4 linked regions of the Drosophila melanogaster genome follow. The protein of the gene in region 4 interacts with the protein of the main gene of each other region in a pairwise test. Each region holds a gene or a part of one and is shown on either strand. Other genes may lie near its edges.

Region 1 (5,964 bases), on a different chromosome or scaffold from region 4:
TATAGTTTTTTATGGCTTTATGGCCGAGCCAATGACTTCTTTATTGGTGCAGGTCCTTGGCGCGGAGGAAGCGTTTCAGGTCTTTCCAAATTATTTTTTATGGCCATCGTTCCTGCTTTCCGCATCCCTACGATTTGGTTTCCGTTTCCGAGTGTCGGAGGATCTCTCTACTATAAATCTCGCGTTTTCCACATGCAAATAGTGGGACATGTGTTTCCCCCGGGAGAGGGCTAATCCTTTTGGCCATGTGTTGACAGGCGCAACAACAATAGTAACAATATTAGTAACGACAACAAATGGATATAGCAGGAAGTCAGCCAGTGCGATGCCATATATCATGTGCTGGGAAATATTCGGCCTGTGTCTTTCATGTGTCTCCACTCCGCTGGTGTTTATCTATTTATTTATTTATTTGCCTTTGTACACTTATGACATGATGTTAATTACCGCTCGCGACTCCACAGGCCGAAAGGCAGGGAACCGAAAGGGTGGGCGGAGTCCGGGCCGTCACTTTGAAATGGAAAAGTTCGCCGACTGTTTGCCAACCGTCAACAGCGGCGACAATTGCCAAACGCCGAGGCTAAAGCTAACCGACACTGGCAAACCGACGGTACATCCGATCCGATGTTGGAACGGATCGAAAATCAAAAATCGACAATCCGAGAGTTCCAGACACACGCACTCTGGGAAAAAACGTCCTGCAGCAGGACCTTTGCCTATTGATTCAGGCTGTTTGATCATTGGCTCGCCGCCGCTTGGGAAAGTTTGTACTAAATGTTGTGTACATATTGCTTAATTTAATCACCCAAAGTCAATCCTGCCAAGGACCGCTTGTGACGGAGTGTGTCGCAATGGGCTTAGTCTCAGGATCCTCGGATCCTAAGTCCGTATACGGGTAAAACCAGTCAATGGGAATGTTTCTTGTTTTGCCAAGTTAAAGGATTAGTCGCAGATCCATTGCGGAAATGCTTCACCTGGAAAGTCGACAAGTCAAAGTCATGGGAATGTACGGAATTCGGAAGCAGGATAATAGGATATGCATTATCCATGTTTTGTCGGACTTGGGAAATATCTTATAGTTGGCGGAAAATCCAACCGAAGAATAGGATTTAATTCGGAAGCATAAATATGGCATGTGCAATTTAAAACTATTCATTAATGAGGAAAATTCGTATTTTCTTGAATGCTATGAAATATTTGTCTTTTTAAATGAGATATGAAAAATATTAATTATATAGAAGCCCGAATAATAATAATAAAAATTGTAAAGATATTTAACTACAATATCCTATAAATAACAACTACATTAATTTGATGCTTCAATAAATTTTGATTGGAAACATTCAACCCGCAGAACTTATATCTTTTAACCTTTTCCTATGACTTTACCTATTTCTAGTTTCCAAGCAATTTCCTTCAAAATATGTTAAGAAAACTGCCCATAAAGTGCACCTGCTTGTCTCGATTCAATTACAAATTATTAAATAATTATCCAAGTGAGTAGCATGAAGCATTTCGAATGAGGAACTCATTAAAGATGATTTGACAAGCTCGAGTCGCACTTCAGTTGAAAACGGTGAAAGTTCAACTATTACTTAACAACTACTTAAACAACTGAATTACAATAAATACAATACTGAGTAAAATAATTAAAAAAACTCGAAAATAAATGGTGTGTGAAAGGCATACCCAAAACTAACCAGTAATTGTGTACAATCCTTTTAATAAAGTCTTTCAATTACATTACCATTACCTCAAACTCGTCGTTAATTTGCTGTAAAATATGTCCGGCTTATCCTGCCGGAAACCCTTTTAAAAGCCAATCAATTTTCGCTACAAACGGCCGTTTCCACCCACTCGAAACTTTTATCGCCATCGCTTTGAAGCGGCTAATTGAATTCCAGATTAAAGTGTAAAGCAAAATGGGGGGGAATAAAAAAAACTGATTTGTATTGCAAATTAAAATTTAAGTGAAAACGAATCAGGCGCAAACACAAACAGGGACAATAGATTACAATATCCTGCGGCGCAGACAGCACGACATTAAAAAGGCACGAGGAGCAGCGAGAGCTGGCGCGGAATGGGTATGGACATGGCAATGGAGGTGGAAGGGACGCGCCAGGACGACACAGGACCTTCGTGCAGCTGCTGCTCCTGCTGATGGCACATGCGCCTGGGAGGGCTGCGTTTCGGGATTGGGACTGGGATGCGGGCTGGACTCCAGCGATGGCTGCCTGCCATCAGCGGCAGAAGCAGCAGCAGCAGCAGCAGCTACAGCAGCAGCAGCAGCAGCAGCAGCAACGGCAACGGCAGCAGCAGCAACTACGGCAGCAACATCGGCAGCAGCAGCAACACCAACAATATCCCAGGCTTGCGACCGTCAGGCCAACGGTTTCCGCTTGCTTACTGCTGGAACGGAAAAAGCCAAGGCACATATATCCATGCACATCCACAGGCACATTCGGTCGGAGCCACATCCATGGGATAGTAGATACCGAACGCTGAGGGCCAATCCGAGAGCAGCAGGTAGGCGTGGACGTATCTACCATTTCCAAACAACTTCAACCCCGCCACAGGCAGCTGCCGTTGGTCGGGCCGCTCGCCACCCTCGTCGCCCTCCTCCGCACTTCTCGGCCGGTTCAAAAACGGGTCGCCCTGCCAGCAGTTGCAGTCAGTTATTAACGAGCGCTACTCCCAACAGCAACATCGCTCAGCGGCAGCAGCAGCAGCAGCAAAAGCAAAAGCAAAAGCAACACTAACAACAGCAACACGAGTCACTCAAACGTGGAAGCGAGACAGGAATATCAGCACTCCACTCGCCTCGTTTCACTTCGATTCTCAAGCGTTTGAGTCGGAGAGCGGCGAACGGCCAACGAATTCAGTTTGTGTCGAGACGTTGTCGGTGGCACGTCGCATCCAAAAGAACGCTCAGTCAGCTGGGAAATATACTGAGAAAAGATACATTCGTAGATACAAGTGCTAAGCCAAAGTGAACCGTGCAGTTCGCGCAACTAAACAATTTTAAGCCAAATAAAACTACACAAGGCCAACAAAGACAGTATAATGTCTTCCACATCGGCCTCACCCATCAGCAACATAACCGTGGATGACGAGCTCAACTTAAGCAGAGAACAAGGTGGGTTCAAGTTCAAAACTGGCTCAGAACAACTTGGCAAATGCCGACGGCAAAGCGCATTACTCTCTAGCACTTTTTGACTAGTTTCAAAAAATGTTCCATTAATATTTGAAAGTAGTCTCACATAGCATTGCATTTATATGAATTGAAAACTAACCGTGGGCATTTCTATTCCTTCCTTTTTAGACTTTGCTGAAGAGGATTTCATAGTGATCAAGGAGGAGCGCGAGACAAGTCTCTCCCCCATGCTGACGCCCCCGCACACGCCCACCGAGGAGCCGCTGAGGAGAGTGCATCCGGCGATAAGCGAGGAGGCGGTGGCCACCCAGCTGCACATGCGACACATGGCCCACTACCAGCAGCAGCAACAACAGCAGCAACAGCAGCAGCAGCACCGCCTGTGGCTGCAGATGCAGCAGCAGCAGCAACAACATCAGGCTCCACAGCAGTATCCAGTTTATCCCACAGCCAGCGCCGATCCCGTGGCCGTGCACCAGCAGTTGATGAACCACTGGATCCGCAACGCAGCCATCTACCAGCAGCAACAGCAGCAGCAGCAACATCCGCACCATCATCACCACCACGGCCATCCGCACCACCCTCACCCACATCCGCATCATGTGCGTCCCTATCCCGCTGGCCTCCATAGTCTGCATGCCGCGGTCATGGGTCGCCACTTCGGAGCCATGCCCACCCTGAAACTGGGTGGTGCCGGTGGAGCGAGTGGTGTACCCAGCGGCGCAACTGGCAGCAGTCGGCCAAAGAAGCAGTTCATCTGCAAGTACTGCAACCGGCAGTTCACCAAGTCGTACAATCTGCTCATCCATGAGAGAACCCACACGGACGAGAGGCCTTACTCCTGCGACATCTGCGGCAAAGCCTTCCGGCGACAGGATCATCTGCGGGACCACCGGTACATCCACTCCAAGGACAAGCCCTTCAAGTGCAGCGATTGCGGCAAGGGTTTCTGCCAGTCGCGCACCCTGGCCGTGCACAAGGTCACCCATCTGGAGGAGGGTCCGCACAAGTGTCCCATCTGCCAGCGGAGCTTCAACCAGCGGGCCAACCTCAAGAGTCACCTCCAGAGCCACAGCGAGCAGAGCACCAAGGAGGTGGTGGTGACCACCTCACCAGCCACTTCACATTCGGTGCCAAACCAGGCATTGAGTTCGCCTCAACCTGAGAATTTGGCACAGCATCTGCCTGTCCTGGATCTATCCTCGTCATCCTCGAGCTCAGAGAAGCCCAAGCGGATGCTGGGCTTCACCATCGATGAGATCATGAGCAGATAGATTGAAGGACCAGCGAAACCCGGTATCCGGTTTCTTTTGAGACATTCTAAAAGAGATTCAGAGAGCTGGACGTCCGCCAGGCATGGGAAATGCCTGGAATGGAAAACCAAGCGAGTCCAGCCCGCATTCTGGCCAAAGGTGCAAGTGGAAAATCCTCGCCAGCAACTCGTAATCGCAACCCAGTGAGCAGAAGAGTCATCCTCCGTGCAATCGGTTCTATGTAGCAGATCCCAATTGCGTTAAACAAATGCCAAAGTCAAATAGCAGAGGAAAACTGATGAAAAATCCAATGAAAAGTATTGCTAGCACAAGCCTCCTACAAATCGATTCCAAAACACACACACACACACACAACTGTAAACTATAAACTTTAATAAATAGCACATAATTTATATTGTAATCTAACTATTATTGTATGTACCTTATAGTCGTAGTAGCCCATTCAGTTCGTAGTGCTTATGGAGTAAACCAAATGTTATGTTACAATAGCTCAATCAAACAAACCTCAAACCCGCTTTGGTTATTGAAAGACTGTTTTAATTATTATATTTAAATAGTACTTGAATAAATCAATCGATCGATTGTGTAATGTTAAACCCCGACGAGTGTCATGATTACTTACTGTTTAGACTTAACAACTTAATTGTCGCTATAGCAATTGTGACTATGCACAACGATCTCATTGTCGTCTATATGTATGTCTGAAACATTCGTATTGATATGAAGTTATCACAAAAATACGTAAATATAAACGCAAAGTAATTTTCAACTGAAATTTAATAAGACTTTTTATGAATACGGTGGATTTTGTGTTTCCAGGTATTTGGCAATGGCAATTTCGCCTTGATTTATCATTACTTCTACTGGCAACTTGATAATCTTTATGGTGTACTAAGTTAAAGTTATCTGAAAAGATTTAAGCAGCAATTTTTTGATTACCTTCTACCACCTACTGACTGATTCAAGTTCCAAGCGGACTGAATGATTTTGATCTACTTTTAATCACTTTGAAATCTTTCTTATCCGCTGACTAAATCCCACGCCATTCCGATTTGGGAATTTTCTCATGCTGCGAATATAACTCAGTAGACTGAACTCGTAGGACCATATAAGTTGAACCATCAAACAGCAGCTGTCAAAATTTATTAACCATCCGAATATAACTCAGTTTTTATGCAGATCTCGATTTGCGCATTTTTAAGCAGCTCTATTATTTTTCAGGTTGCCGATTAAGTAAGCAGAAGTCTCGCCACCAAAAATATTCAAACTGTCGCAGAAGTTAATTTATGAAATCGAATCGAATTGAATTTGATGTCAGTTTTGCTATGATTTTGTCATGAATCGGTTTCGATTTCGGTAACACTATGGTTATTGTTTAACTTTGAGGTGTGGTCCAAATATTTATGGCCTGTGTTTCAGTTTTGGGTTTAGTTCAGTTTTCATTGTGGCTTCTCTTGAAAATCGGGAACGTGCCAAATGCCTTGCAAAAGGTATGTTTGATTTCCTTTAATGGTGGTTTTCTTTTCTAGTTTCTTC
Region 2 (4,777 bases), on a different chromosome or scaffold from region 4:
GGCCGTTAGATATTTCATAAGAAGTATTTACGCATTTTGCGACTTAATAAGCGAATTAAGAGTTCTTTATGCAGTACAATTATCTGCAATATTTACAGGCTTTTGTTGGTGATTTAACATATCTTTAATGTCATCATTACTTAACATTTTTGTGTTAACTGCATACAATTTTGCCAGAGTAATAGTTTCCATTTAGGGTTTCAAGTCAAATGTTAACAATCATAACCTATTTACCTGCATTGGTTCTGGTGGGGGTTGTACCTTGCAATTGTTATTTAAATTCAAATTAATTCTTTTGTCCAAAGTTCCCGCTTACCGGCCAATTATTATGCTGATTAATATTCTGATTATGGTTCTGATTATTATTCCAATTATTATTCATTCTATTTGATGTTTAGATGATGTTAGTTTCTTATTCTGACACTTTGCCAAAACATTTGGCAAGTCTAGTAGGTTTAGAGAAAAGAGTAAAATAAGGAATTAAGAATTCTAAGAGCGTTACTCCTAATTGTTCTATTCATTTCCTTGGTTATTTCTCTGTCATTTGCATATGTCATTAAAATTTTTGTTATGAGTAAAGCAATTTTCTTGTTAACTTTGTTGTAGAATTCTGTAATGCTTTAGCGCCCCTGTCTAAGGATGCATAATTCAGATTCGAGAATATGGATTGGCCTTTAATCTTTATAAACAAAATCCAATCTGGAAAGAATTGCGTTAAAGTTTAAAACTGTATCATGGTTAGTTAGAGCATCATGTGTTGCTCCCATGATTTTATAACGTAGTATTGGTAAACAGATAAGATATTGTTCACTTCGAATTTTATATAGACCCATGACAGTTTCTGCCGCTTCTTACTTGCCTAGAACTCTCAACTTTGGTAAAGATTTAATTACCTAAGCGGTAGTGTCGCACTTTATAGTTGGGTCAATTGTTTGCATTTTATAAACTCTACTACATTTCTGCTAGCGTTTAACTGCCCTTCTGTCCCTTCAATTTTTTTGGTCACTTCTCCCAATTGTACATTTTTTAATCGGGTAATTAATTCCATTTTCAGATTCATGGCGCTGGTTGGTGCTGAACCTCCGGTTACCATTATTAAATTTAATTTTCAAAACTATTAAATTTTCCAGATTGTTTTCTTTAATTAATTGATACATTTGATGTTGAAATGTTTAATTTTAAAACTCTATGGTATTCCTTATAGCTTTCTCTAATTTTATTAATTTCTTTTAAAGACTTAATATTAATTTCTGGTCACGATACATTTTGTTGGAGTCTTATTAGGTCCTTTAGGTTAATTGTCCTGATTATTTACTGTCAATTGTTTGTATTTAGCTGGGGCGGGGGATTACCATCAGGTCATCCTTTCTTCTTGTTGATTTTTTTATTTTTGGGATATTTTCGGTAATAGTTTTTGGCTTTTTGTTTCAATTGTCTTTCTTGCTGAGTCTGATTATTATTATTCTTGTGTTCTCGTAGTTTGTATTAAGAATTTAGTCCACATTTTTAAATATAATATTCTTAGTTGGATTATTGCATTTATAATTTCCAATTAAGTTTTTCCACGATCACTGCCACAGTAGTTAGATGTCGTTGGATTAATGTGGATGTTTTAAGAATGTGAGTGGTTAGCGGCGCGAGTTTCGTTTTATATTTAACTTATTATTGTTAATATTTTTTTAGAACTTTTGAACTACACCGCTATACGTTGGGCGCTAATTAATCGTCCCGATTCAGTCTGATTTTTAAATCTTAATCCTAATCCACTCAACCTCGGCCAGAAGCTTTTATTTAGAATTCTCTTGAACTTTATACTGAAATTATTTCACAGCATTATGAAATTGAAATTTGCTGACTGGTGTTTACGTTAAGTTTGGTCATTTATCGGATGGTTAAGTGCTGGCGACAAAAACAAAAACAAAGGAAATGCTGCTGAGATCGGGGTATGAAATTTGTTTATCAACAGAGCAGGGTGCTATATTTACGGGTGGGATAACTTATATGTATTGTAATTAATCGCACATGGGGCGGTTATATATACATACAACTTTTATTTTAATAAAATTGAGTTTCACGTTATCAGATGCGCTGAGCTGATATCTTACTTGTAATCTCAGGTATGCAACATAAAATAAATAAAATAAATAGCTATTAGATAATGAATATATTCTGATTCACTCAAAATTACTTTAATATGGCAACTTTTGAAAATTTGATTATAACTAGAAAAAATAGCGCTAAAATTTGGCATTGTTAAGATTTCAATATTTTAGCGACAGTCCCTCTCTTGTATAGTTGTTGTGTTATCTAACAGGAGCATTCTAATTTTCAGCAAAACTGTGGACGGTATGCATATTTAAAATCACGTTGTTCTATGGTATACCATGTGGTATAGACCCACTCTTGTCCAAACAGGCCCTTAAAATATAAATTGAAATCGATGGGTCGTTTCCATATCGATATTTTCTCAAATTTTTGAGCTGTCCAAAACAATAAATACATACATTAAATATACCTTTAATACAATACATTGAAGTCAAAATACAATTTTAAATTGCTAATCACTATTTCGCCGAATTTGCATAAACGCATGAGAACTATGACCGACTAAGCAAGTTATCTGAATGCAGTAGCTGAACCCCGAAAGCTAGAGAACAAAAAGTATAAATGTCGGAATCAATGTCAGGTGATCACAAAATTTTATTAAAAGGACATTCCTCCCAATATTTAAAACTTAATGTTGGTGGTCATTTATATTATACCACAATTGGAACACTGACGAAAAACAATGACACAATGCTGAGCGCAATGTTTAGTGGTAGAATGGAAGTGCTGACTGATTCGGAAGGTTTGTTACATGTTCTTATACGGAATAATATTAATATACAAAATTCTAGGATGGATTTTAATCGATCGCTGTGGAAATCATTTTGGTATCATTCTTAATTATTTAAGAGATGGCACTGTTCCATTACCAGAAACTAACAAGGAAATTGCAGAATTGCTTGCCGAAGCCAAATACTACTGCATTACCGAGTTAGCTATTTCTTGTGAACGGGCACTATATGCTCATCAGGAGCCAAAGCCAATTTGCCGCATTCCACTTATAACTTCACAAAAGGAAGAGCAGCTTTTATTAAGTGTTTCTTTAAAGCCGGCTGTTATTCTTGTGGTTCAGCGGCAGAATAACAAGTATTCGTACACAAGTACATCAGACGACAACTTATTAAAAAATATTGAATTATTTGATAAGCTTTCTTTGCGCTTTAACGAACGAATTTTGTTTATTAAAGACGTAATTGGGCCAAGTGAAATCTGCTGCTGGTCATTTTACGGACACGGAAAAAAAGTAGCTGAAGTGTGTTGCACTTCAATAGTTTATGCAACTGACAGAAAGCATACTAAAGTTGAATTTCCGGAAGCTCGTATATACGAAGAAACGCTACAAGTCTTGCTTTATGAAAACCGCAATGCACCAGACCAAGAGCTCATGCAGGCAACGTCTTCAGCACGAGTAGGAAGTGCAAGTGGAACCAGCATTAATCAGTACACAAGCGATGAGGAAGAAGAACGCACTGGACTAGCGCGATTACGATCCAACAAGCGTAATAATCCGTCCTGATTTACAAAACTCTATTACATATGATTGACATTGTTTTTTATAAACGATTAAAAAAAATATATATATGTTTTCTTTTCTTAATAAAACTTGCTATTTCTGCTGTGTGGTCTGCTATAGGTGTAGTTGAAATAAAATGGTTTTTTTTTTGGTTATCCTGTTAAGAAGAAATTCCGTGTTTTCCACATATGCGTTAATAAGCTTTCCTTCCCAAGCCAACTGTAGAACGATGCTTTGTTAAGTTGATAGTTCCGATCATATTAACTAGAAATGACATTCCCTTTGCACTGTACACCTAACAGTGGATTGCATAAGCGCTATTCTGTTCCGAAAATTACTACTACTGGTTTAAAGTTATTAATAAAACCTCTTCAGTTCAAAACTAAATATCACGTTTTATCAGCGATGTTTTTTAAATTTTCCGAAACATCGATGTTTAATTTAGACTATCGATGATTTTAGGATCATCACTATTCGAAGAACAAGAAGAAGAGCTATAATTTCTTCAGCTAATTTAATTAACTTAATTTCAATTATTAGCGTGCAGTATATATATATTTATTGCTTTTTAATTGTTGGTGAAAGCTATGCAAGTCGTTGGAGATCTTCATGCAAAGCAGGCCAAGTCATTTCTGATCGCCGAACTACATTGAAAGCTTATGCTGTGAACAAACTTATGTTCATCGACAAAATTTTGGACATTTCTACAAAAAAATTATGCGATAAAATGAAGATAAAGATGCTCAAATTACACATATATGTACACTTTAAATAAGATATATTTATGAGGCGTCTGGTAAAACCGATCTCACTGATTTTTAAATTCCTATTATTACTAATTTAAGATGATGCATATGAAAAGAAATCGCATTGTTTCTAAGTTTGTAAAATTATTATTTGTTGAGTTGTTTTATATTCAATTTCTAATCAATTGAATTCAAAAATATACGGATACGCCACCCTGGATCGCGAAGGAAAGGGGCTAACCATTTTCTAGTAGTAGGCTCATTTTATTCTGTAAGAATTCATGGTTATGACAATTGGAACTTTTTTAACTCTAGGTCACCGCAGTATGTCCCTTAGATTTTCGAACGACAATGAAAATTTTAAGTTTCCAGGCTAATTTCCAACATGGCGGTGGCGAAAAAGCAGTGTCCC
Region 3 (4,100 bases), on a different chromosome or scaffold from region 4:
AGTATTAGCCCCACCTCTTAAACTCTCACATCTTCATGAAACTGCTACGATCGAGAGGATTTATTCCGGTGATTAAGCGAAAGACCTTTCATATTTCAGCCAATTAGGAAAACGATCGCAACAGCACATCCAACAAGCATCACTAATTGGCAGACGTTTAACACTCCCCCTCAACTCGATGAGTTCCTCAAGATGGGACCATAAAACGATTTCCAAATGAAAACTGGAGGCACTCAGCCAGCTACTGCAGATGGAGATCATCATCATTATTATGATCATCAACGGCAGCAAAAGCAGCACGATATGAAGGGGTTACGGTCGATGGAAGATTGGAAGATGGGTACTATATGGCTAAAGTTCCCCCACGCGCCACCGATGATGCCAATGATTAATTGCCTCGAAAATGTTTGTTTTCATAAACAATTTTTTTAATAGACCCTCGCATATGTCGGCTGTCGGACGAGTCAGAAACCTGGATCTATCGGGGTCGACGAGTGGGCGGGGTCAAAGAGTTAAATCGATTCGAGTGTTGTCTTTGTCGGATCTTAATGCAGATGACTCCGATGACTCCGGAGTTTCAATGCAGCTATTTTCGTGTCCTCCGCCTCTGATCGATGCACTCGTGTTGGGAATGTAAAAAGAGTTGATAAATCAAAATGTTTTGCCGGGGTCACAAGGCAAGGCATTTGAACGCCCCCGTGGCCCTGACAAATGGGCCCATGGTATTTGGGCTTATTGAAGGTGTTAATTGGCAGCAATTAGGATGGACCTTAAGCGGTGGAAATTCATATTTTCCAACGTTTAAATACGTTTAAAATTAGACAAAATGTTGGTGGAGAAAATAGAAAGACAAACCAGAGTAAGAAAAATATTTATCCCCCGGACGAGGGTCGCCAAGAAATTTATGAAATTTCTGTGTGCTCTGGAGCTCGTGGCATTCCCGAAACAGATTTTTTCAATTAAAAATAAAAAATGTTTTCAACAGGTGACAAAACAATTTTACGGCCCCAAGACCGCACGAATGCCATAAAATGGGATTAGCCATCAGGGAGATGACGATCAAAGGAGGGCACTTCTCGTTTCCTTTCCTGATGCCTTGTTTTGAGTTAAAGGGACCATCAAATATTTTATGCATTTTAAATTGCTGCTAAAAAAGCAGAGCTAACGTTCCCTCATCTCTTGCCATTCCAGCCATAAATCTTAGGGCTCGGGAGATACATTTTGTGGGACGACAGGTAGATCCCATTGCTGGCTGGTCCAAGGACATGCCGACACTTGGCCTCAAGTGCATTATGAATATGAAGCAATAATTTATTTATGAACCTCATAACGATGCAATTTATGAGGTCATCTGCCATTGTCTGCTGCTCCTTTGTAGGTCAGTCTTTGGCCTTTGTTCTGCAGATCGGCAAGAAACATAAATAAAACTTGCATCGATAGGAAACTGGTTTGTCAGAGGCAGGGAAAAAGATACAGCTGTGCGGCATGCGGTGTGTACAGGTGGAAGTCGCTAAGGATAACAAGGTTTCTTATCTACCGAAGTGTGGCCCAACATGGGTTTTAGTTTGTAGTGCTAAAGTCCTTTTCGGACAAAATTTATTTAGTAGTTTCCTATCCAACTGGTTTATATTTCTTACAACTTTCACCAAGCACACCGTCTGAATATATTACATTTTTAGAATAAAACAATAATCAGTATTTATTGCGCTACATTTGCTTAAACATTTATTTATTTATCACCAGCATCTGGACATTAATTCCATAAATCAGCCACCCAGACACTGAAATGATTAATTCAATAAGTTTGAATGGCTGTTCTTAACTGCCATTAATAGGCTAATAATCTCGAGATGATGATTAAAAATGTTTATTATGACTGTGTTTGCACAAAATTTGAATTTTATTATGTCTAAGATTATATGAGAAGATCAGAGATAACATTTCAAAATCTCAGCATGATCTCAAATATTCCGTTAAGAGCGAGTATAGAACACAGACTGGTTTTTGCTAATGATATTCATGATGCGACAACGAAATGATTTATTTTGTTTGTTTTCCTGTTATAGAAGATTATAAACGTATAGATTGTACATGACTAAAACAAGTTAGAAGTTTTCAAATCAAGTAAGCATGGAAAACACATTAATGTGTACTTCAGTTGGCTCGAATTAGAAATCCTCATTTTTAGTCCGGCATTCAGTAAGGTAACAGATCGGCCAACAAAATTTTTTCAAAAACCATTTGAAATTTTTTTGAAATTTTTAAATTTTTTAACGATGGAAAACGGTCCGGAATTCAATTGGGAGTACAGCCATGGTGGTCAGGGAAATCCCAACTACTCACAGGTGAGTCTGCCTACGTACTTCGGTATCCGGGTCTAAACCATGGAATGGTTTCAGATGGGAAGGGGTAGTACTCCTCCTGGAGGCGGTGGTCGTCAGTGGCTGCACTCAAGTCAAGCGAACACCCAAAACTATTTGCATGGATCCAGTGGAATGGGATCGCACCAGAATAACGCATCTCCAGGTGATCCATTCGCCTCCTACAACCAAAATATGATGAACATGTACACGAATTTTAAGCCCAGTTACGGTCATTCTCAAGTTGGGTAAGTTTTTTTTTATGGATCTTAAGGCTGATCTAAAACTGTTTTGGGTTCTATTAGCCCGGCTTCGGTACAGGGCATGGGCTCAGAGCCTGGTCTTGAAATGGGTAACAGAATGGGCCATTCCATGCCCGAGTCTATGGGATTCGATGGAGGCATGGGTTCCGGCATGGGCATGAGCAATGGCCTTGGCGCTGGAATGCGAGTTGGTTCCATGCGTGGTGGTCAAAGGTTAGCTGGAGGCTACTCTTCGAATGGTAAGGCATTTTACTTACCTAATGAAGAATCGCATTAAAATCGTTTTTTTGTAGGTCTCAATGATCCGAACCCTTCGCAATCCCACCGTGGTAGTTGGTTCTAGAAGAGCCCATTAGTTCCTAACTAACTTTACGAATCTCATTTGGCACTTGAAAATTAAATATAATAGGCTTCCCATGAAATGTATATTCACAAAGCAAGTAACTCGAAATTTCCCGTTTAAGAATAATAAATTGATCACATAATAAATATTTGGCACATTTATCAATCTGCGATCACGTGTACGTTATCTATAGTTGTGACCGTTTAATTGTAATCGATATTCAAATATGGCCGAGGGTCAAACGGTGCCATTAACGCCGGCTAACCTTCTGCCCTTTTGGGTGCTGTGACCTCTGTCATCGGGGATCTGTGTATGGAAATCACGTAAGGGATGGGGTGGGGGGTGGCTTTAGTTGCGAGGGGTGGCGCAAGGGCATAAATAACAAATGCAATGTATTTGTATGTATAAATTATGATGATACTATTAGTTAGCATGTCATTCGGCAGCGGGTCTATAAATTACGGACAGGCAACAACTGCAGCAGTGCACACCCACCCTCCCATTTTTAGGGGCCAATGTGCATCCGTTTTTTTTTTTTGGGAGTTTTTATTAATAAATTTACATATACATACGATTTCGGGGGGCCCCTAAACATCGCCACTCGCCTGTCGCATGTCCCCAAATGAGGAACTCCTCCCGTTTCGGAAGTCCCGCGCGTGTGTAATGATCTGTCGCCCTGGATCAGGGCAGCGGATTAATGGTAAACCGAACGCATTTTTCATCGAACATTCCGTTGCATTTTTTTTCCTCGATTTTCCACTATGTTTTTAACAAGCGCCCATTTCGGAAGAACTAATTTATATATATTTGTTTCTGTGCGGCGAGAGTTCAGTAAACTATATGGAATCGCTACGGTTATGAGACCGTTCCGTTCGTTGTGCTCCAGATACGGTCGGTTCCGTTCCCCTCCATGAAACCCTTTCGGACGGAGGGATCCCCGGGTGGAATGCCAGTCACGTCTTGGACGGATAGGCCAGAGAATAGACCCAACCGACAATCACTCCGCCGTTTTCTGCCTTCATTTCAATTCAGTTCTTTTTTTTCTTTTTTTTTGTTGTGTGATATATATATGTATATATAACATTAAGTTAGTCCGTGACGGTTTGTCGGGTGGCGAAGGGGTCACAAATAAAT
Region 4 (6,410 bases):
CCTTTTTGCGCCGCCTTTCGCGCATTTGCATGCAATAAAGATGGCGGGGCGATAACTAGGTTGCCTGCCATTGTTTGCCTTTTCCCCATATTTCTCTTTGGGCATATGTATACGTGTGTGAGTGTGTGTGTGTGTGTTAGCCGCACTAGTTGGCCGCCAAAAGCAGCGGCAGACAGCCCAAGCAGCCACTAAAAAAGGCGAAGTCCGCCAACTGGCGTATCCTGCCACTGCCACCGATTCTTCTTCTTTTGCCGCTGCTGCTGCTGCTATGCATTATGCAGATGTACACCAGGTTCATGAATATATATGCGAGTACTTTGTCTACCTACACATGCAAACAGCTGAAGGCACTGCACTAAAATAAAATATAATTTATTTTCATTAATCTAACTAAAAAAAAAGCAACAAATGCCCTTAAGATCTTAATGGTTATTTAAAAACTCTAACATACTTTTTATATACACCTTAAAGCACTAAATGCTTACTTCCTGTACCCTGCTTTTTATCAGTGTACAGCTCCTTGCATTCGCGATTGTGCGAAAAAAAAGAATGCAGACAAAACTAACTGACAAAATGCCATATGTTTGTGCGCGATAAGCTGCGAAACCCCCTTCCTCTGGCAGCTCCACTAGCCCACGAACGTCCCCATTTCAGCAGCTCCAACCTGTAATTATAATTTAACACCGCATCAAATCAAACGGGTCAGGCAGTAAGGACAAAACACGAGCAAATCGATGTCCTGGCCATCAACCCACACGCACATAGCCCCGGGCCAAAAGCCAAATGCCCCAACCAGAAACCAGCTCCGGCAGCTCAAAAGCCCGTGGCTTCAATGGCTGAGTAAATCAAAAATGTGCAATAAAAATTGCAATAAAGCACGCTTCAAAGGTAACGCAGGGGGGTTGTGCGGAATTGGATGGCTGCAAACCTCATCTAAGCAACGATAATGATTGCAATTCATTTTTATGACTGCCAACTAACCGTTTCCGGGTATTACGATTCTGCAAACCAATTTGCCGACACGCATATAAACAAATTTAATTAAACACGGAGATTTGCAACAAAACGGAGCGTAATAAAACCATTTTATGCTAAACGGGTCAATTTAAATCACACCTAATGTGCCGCTTTAGATTTATGAAATTAACATCCAATGATGCTATATGCTTATTAAAATTATTGAATGCGGTTTGAAGGACCAAAATTCTAGAATTTTTGACTTATAATGTAGAATCATAAGTTATAGTTGTGTATATTGCAGAATAGTTAAATGCTTATTGTAAAACATTTAATGCGGCTTGGAGGACCAAAATACTAGTATAATTCTATAGAAATTATATAGCTTTATTTTTGCTAAATATGTGCATTTTAACCTTTAGCATTTTCATGCAATCATGCTACATTAATATCACTGCACCAACAATGATATTTACCTAGGCATTTGGCGCATTGACTCCATAAGAGTGCGACATTCGTGACTCTGGGAACAAAAAGGGCATCTAAACAAACACTAGAAATGCCAGCAAGGACCGCCCTTTAGCTTATTTTTAGTCGCGTGGCCAGAAGTGGCCAGAATGGCCAGTTTGAAGTGGGCAGGTGTACGGGTGTATGGGCACCTGTCGTCGCCAATCAACCTTGACTAGAACTGGGCGTTGCAGGGTGGTAGGGTCACTGGGTTAGGTTACTAACATAAGAGTCAGTTCTGCACAAGGTTGCCTTTTGCTGCTGCCACACTGAGGTAAATATTTTGAGGCAACATCAGGTGCGTAAAAATGTCAATAGAGTCTAAAAATCACTTTGAACGGTGTTTAAAAGTAGGAAACTATATTAACAATATATTAACACTGGATTCTTTTCTTAACTGCTATTAAGAGACTTTAAAAAATTATACAATAATTTCCAAATGTTTATATACATTTTAAAATACTTAGTTTGTAATTGCTATTTTTCCAGTGATTTGTTACTGTTAGTTGGCTTTAGATGCGGTTTGCTTGGTTGGTTGGCCAGCGATTTTCCAATAAAATGAAATTGCATTTGATGATGCCAGGATGTTTTTTTTTTTTCAATCATTGTGATATTTTTCCCTCACCCCTTTTGTTTTCCCATGCTGTTTTCCTTCACCCCTGCCATTTATAGAAAATTGAATCAAAGTGTTGGTGGCATTGCGACAAACTGCTGGACGAATGAGCGCGTGATTTGAGGCGATTTGTAGAAAAGTGAAAGCCGGCTCCTGGCCACCGGGACCCAGGTCCCAGGTCCTTGCGTCCTGCCAGCGAAGGAAGTGATTAGTGTAGCACTGCTCGACGGCTTCCTTGCGTGAGTCGCGGCATCCTGGGAGAAACGGGAACAAAGCAAACACGGCGCAGCGGAGAAATCCAATTTGTAATGGCCAAGCTGGCCAAGTAGCCCTTGATTTCATTGTTTCAACGGGTTACCGCTAACACACACACACACAAACAGACACCCTTACACCTTTTAAGGAGTTTTGTAAACATTTTCCACATATTGTGCTGCAAATCGAAAAATAAAAAATCCGAAAAAAGTTTTTACCAAACCAAGATGCATTCGACCAAGATTAAAGAGGGTGATGACAGAGTGAGTTGTCCATTCTATTGCCAGTCATATGTGTTGGCCATTAAACGTATTCAACTAATTTGAATGCCACCGTTTAGGAGGAGATGGAGCTAAATCAAATCTGGCGAGGATGTCGTAAAATCCAGGGCGCCATTTTTCGTTATAACTTTGACATCTGCGCCGACTTAAAGCAGCATGATCCCTGTTGCAGTGGCTTCGTGTCCGGTGAGCACATCCTTCGGATGTATTTCCCATTTTTATTGCGCCCCCTTTTTACGACCTAACCCATCTACTCCAGAGCCCATTTTCACCGCCGTGCTGGGCAAGTATCGCAAGGTGGCCGGATTGTCCGAGTCGGAACTCCGGGATGTCACTGACTATTTCCAAATTCGAGATGGACGCGTAGCGTATCGTCAGTTCTGCAAGGTCGTCTGCAGCGAAAGTAAGTTGGTTTTTGGTTAAATTGTATCAATGCTATATCTATTTAACATATAATTTTAGCACTGCATAAGACCGCCAAAAGTGATCTAGCTACGGGACTGGAGTGGAACGATCCCTGGCATGTGAATGTTGTACCCCAGCCGGAGGATCGACGACGTCTCTGCCTGATCCTGCTCAAGATTGCCCAACTATGCAATATTCCGCTCATGCCCTACTTTCAGGACTACGAACTAGTAATTGATTTGCTTAATCATATATCCACCATATTAATAAGCTATTACATTTATTTATAGATTGCACAAAATGTTGGAGTTGTTACCGTTGCGCACTTTTCTCGTGTGCTGCACTTTATGAAGATACCACTTTCGGAGTCCGATTTTCTGCTCCTCCTCAGACGCTATATGAAGGATGGTTACCTGGTCAACTATGTGGCTTTCCTCAAGCACATCGATAATATTATAGCATACCTGGGCGAGCATCATCTGCTGGACAACTCACATGTAAGTGCTAACTTCAATGCTAAAGAATTCGCGCGTATGATGAAATGTGTTCCGAATGTAGGATATTATCAAGGACTTTCCGGGACGTTTAGTGGACCTAGAACTTTCCCAACTGCCAGCTATTGATGGTTGCAAGGCAGTGCATCCAATCTTTCCCGATGCCTGCAGTACACCCAAAAAGAATCGAAATCAGTGCGACATTCTGTTCTGCATTCAGAACTACATCTACAAGAACCAAGTGCGCACCTCCGAGTTCCTAGAGTGCTATGACAGCCTAAACGTGGGCAGCATCACCAAGAATCAATTTGAGCGCGGTCTATCGAACATGGGAGTGGGAAAATATCTGACCCAAAGGGAAATGTCCATTCTGCTGGAACGCTACACTGATCCCGTGGATATCAATCGAGTGCGTTGGCGCAATTTCGCTGATGAGATCGATACAGGTGAAGAGTAATGAACACTATGAGCACTAAACTCTCTATATATATATATGTATTATATTTTTAGTATTCACCATTAAGAACCTGGAGAAGATGCCACAGTGTGTCGTGGAATCGCCACTTCGTCACATCCAGGAGTTGCCCAGACCCGGCGCCGTGCCCTGGGAGTCTGTGTCGGCTAATGTTCGTGATCTGTGTGAGGATGCCATGGCCAAGATTAAGATACGCATCCGCAATCGTCGCCTCTATCTGCATCCATTCTTCCGAAGCTACGATAAGTAAGTTTACCGATACCGATCTTAAATGAAGATTGAACTATTTGGCGTTTCCTTTCCAGACTCAACAGTGGACATGTGCGTTGCAACATTACCAAGCAGATTTTTCGCACCAATGGCATCCTTCTGTCCGATCCGGAGCAGGACTCTGTGCTGAGTCGGTATGGAAACGAGCTGGGCTTTTGCTACACCAAGTTTTTGGACGACGTCGATCCGGCGGAGTATGCCATGCCAGCGCTGGTCACCAAGCAGCAACTGGTGGAGTGTCCACCGTTTGCGAGAGACAATTTGGATCCCGAGGATGTCAGCGAGGAGGTGATCGTGCGCATCCTTACGAACGCCAAGCGACAGGCTGTGGTCAAGAGCGTGGCCGTCATCGAGTTCATGAAGGACTACGATCGCCATCGCGAGGGCGAGATCCTTGAATCGGACTTCAAGCGAGCCCTGGATAACTCAAGTGTAATCATCAAGGAAGAGGAAGCTAACATCTTGTGCAACATGTGAGTAATTCGCAACTTGTATATGTATTATATTTCATTTATATCCTTTTAACATGACCAGCTTCCGTTCACCGAATCGCGTGTCCTGCATTCGCTATCGCGATTTCTGCAAGGCCCTCGACGAGATCTTCATCCAACTGGACACGAACATGGGTGACCAGGTGGTGACCGCCGTGCCACTGCTCCATTTGCCCAATCTGGACTGCGTCGACTGCTTCCTGAGCTTCGACGAGCGAACCATCTGCTCGCAGGCCCTGATGAAGTTGGCCCGCAAACCGGACGAGATCTCCAATCTGAGTCAGCTGTTCAAGGACTTCGATCGCGAACAGTGCGGCTCGATCACGCAGAATCAATTCCTGCGCGGCATCACGGTGCGCGACATGCATGTAATGCTGAGCAGCCGCGAGTTCCAAGCGATCTGCAAGTGCTTCGGCGTGAAGAAGGGCATGTGCATGGAGTTCAACTACCGGGAGTTCCTGAAAATCCTCGACGTGCTCTTTGCCACCGGTCAAATGAAGCGCAACTATTAGTGGCGCGAAAACTAACCCTCTCCAAATTCCAAGTGTATCATTTGTCCAAATTTTTGAATGTTATCAGTAAAATAAAAAAAACAATTGGTGGATTCTTTTAATTTAGGTTTCTTTAATGTAATGTTCGCTTTAAAACTGATCTCCTATCATTCAATTAAGTTAGGTTGTAATTTCGCTTGAGAATGTTTAATTTCTTTTTTTTTTTAAGGGGGAAAATCCACGCTTCCATGTATTGATTTCCTCGAAATGCTACCTAAACTGCCCGTCCAGCACACATCGGCATTTACATATATTAATGCCATCCATTCAGCTTGACGGTCGGACGATTTCATAAAGATTTTCATATAGCTATAGTAGTGTATACATAGATAGATTTGATTTAACAATTCGCATTCTTGCAGTGGTCTATACAATTGTGGGTGTGTACGTAGAGAGTGTGACTTTAGATTTTTATTAAAATATAAATCTCTTCCCTTTCAGAAGTGTACATAAATATAGATGTATTATGTATTATGTATGTATATATGTAGTCTATGAGCGTAATACACATATCCGGAAAACAAAAACTAATATCGTTTCCGCTTTCTCTGCTCTGTACTAGTATATTATGTAATATGGTGGTTTGTTTGTTGTAGGTTGTTTCTGCTTTGTTGTCTTGTCCTGTGTCTTGTCGTATATCGTATATCGAATATCGTATATAGTTTTTCTCAATCGAACGGGAAGAAGGCAACCCGATGTGCCAGCCAGTCAATGCTTGCTTCTTTTGTTTGTTGGTTCTATAATTATTATTACATATTACAGTTAATTCATAATTAAAGTTAAACAAATACTTATACTCTATTGTATTGTGTAATATATGAAACATTTTAGCTGTATTTTTTGTTTTGTTTTGTAAGTATTTTTGTTTGATTTCTTCTGTTTTTTTTTCCTATCTTTCCTATCTCTCCGACATCCTGTGCTCTACTGACGCGTTAAACAATTACCTCGCATAATGTATGGGACTACATTAGAAAAACAAATTAGTTTCGACACACAGACAACGTGAGCATTGCACAGCAGTTAGTTTGGCAAATGTTGTTTGCCACGTTTCCCTGCAATGTTGTCTTGTGGTTTTGCACGGGTTGAAGGGTTGTTTGGTGGGCGGTTGGTT

Evidence for each region.
Region 1: the proteins of CG10841 (region 4) and odd interact in a two-hybrid assay, tested with the Drosophila melanogaster proteins (one large-scale study listed by BioGRID).
Region 2: the proteins of CG10841 (region 4) and CG10465 interact in a two-hybrid assay, tested with the Drosophila melanogaster proteins (one large-scale study listed by BioGRID).
Region 3: the proteins of CG10841 (region 4) and CG14926 interact in a two-hybrid assay, tested with the Drosophila melanogaster proteins (one large-scale study listed by BioGRID).

Annotation. Positions count from the first base shown.
Region 1 is NT_033779.5:3,603,458-3,609,421, reverse strand, and holds odd (odd skipped), read left to right. Parts: upstream 1-2,665; 5' UTR 2,666-3,063; coding exon 3,064-3,136; intron 3,137-3,322; coding exon 3,323-4,428; 3' UTR 4,429-5,198; downstream 5,199-5,964. UniProt on the Drosophila melanogaster protein: Pair-rule protein that determines both the size and polarity of even-numbered as well as odd-numbered parasegments during embryogenesis.
Region 2 is NT_033778.4:5,338,633-5,343,409, reverse strand, and holds CG10465 (uncharacterized protein), read left to right. Parts: upstream 1-2,414; 5' UTR 2,415-2,667; coding exon 2,668-2,848; intron 2,849-2,897; coding exon 2,898-3,622; 3' UTR 3,623-3,704; downstream 3,705-4,777.
Region 3 is NT_033779.5:11,341,345-11,345,444, reverse strand, and holds CG14926 (uncharacterized protein), read left to right. Parts: upstream 1-2,126; 5' UTR 2,127-2,276; coding exon 2,277-2,345; intron 2,346-2,399; coding exon 2,400-2,608; intron 2,609-2,665; coding exon 2,666-2,862; intron 2,863-2,916; coding exon 2,917-2,966; 3' UTR 2,967-3,144; downstream 3,145-4,100.
Region 4 is NT_033777.3:13,629,503-13,635,912, forward strand, and holds CG10841 (uncharacterized protein), read left to right. Parts: upstream 1-2,439; 5' UTR 2,440-2,559; coding exon 2,560-2,595; intron 2,596-2,672; coding exon 2,673-2,799; intron 2,800-2,872; coding exon 2,873-3,016; intron 3,017-3,075; coding exon 3,076-3,248; intron 3,249-3,308; coding exon 3,309-3,515; intron 3,516-3,576; coding exon 3,577-3,958; intron 3,959-4,022; coding exon 4,023-4,233; intron 4,234-4,292; coding exon 4,293-4,730; intron 4,731-4,791; coding exon 4,792-5,260; 3' UTR 5,261-5,359; downstream 5,360-6,410.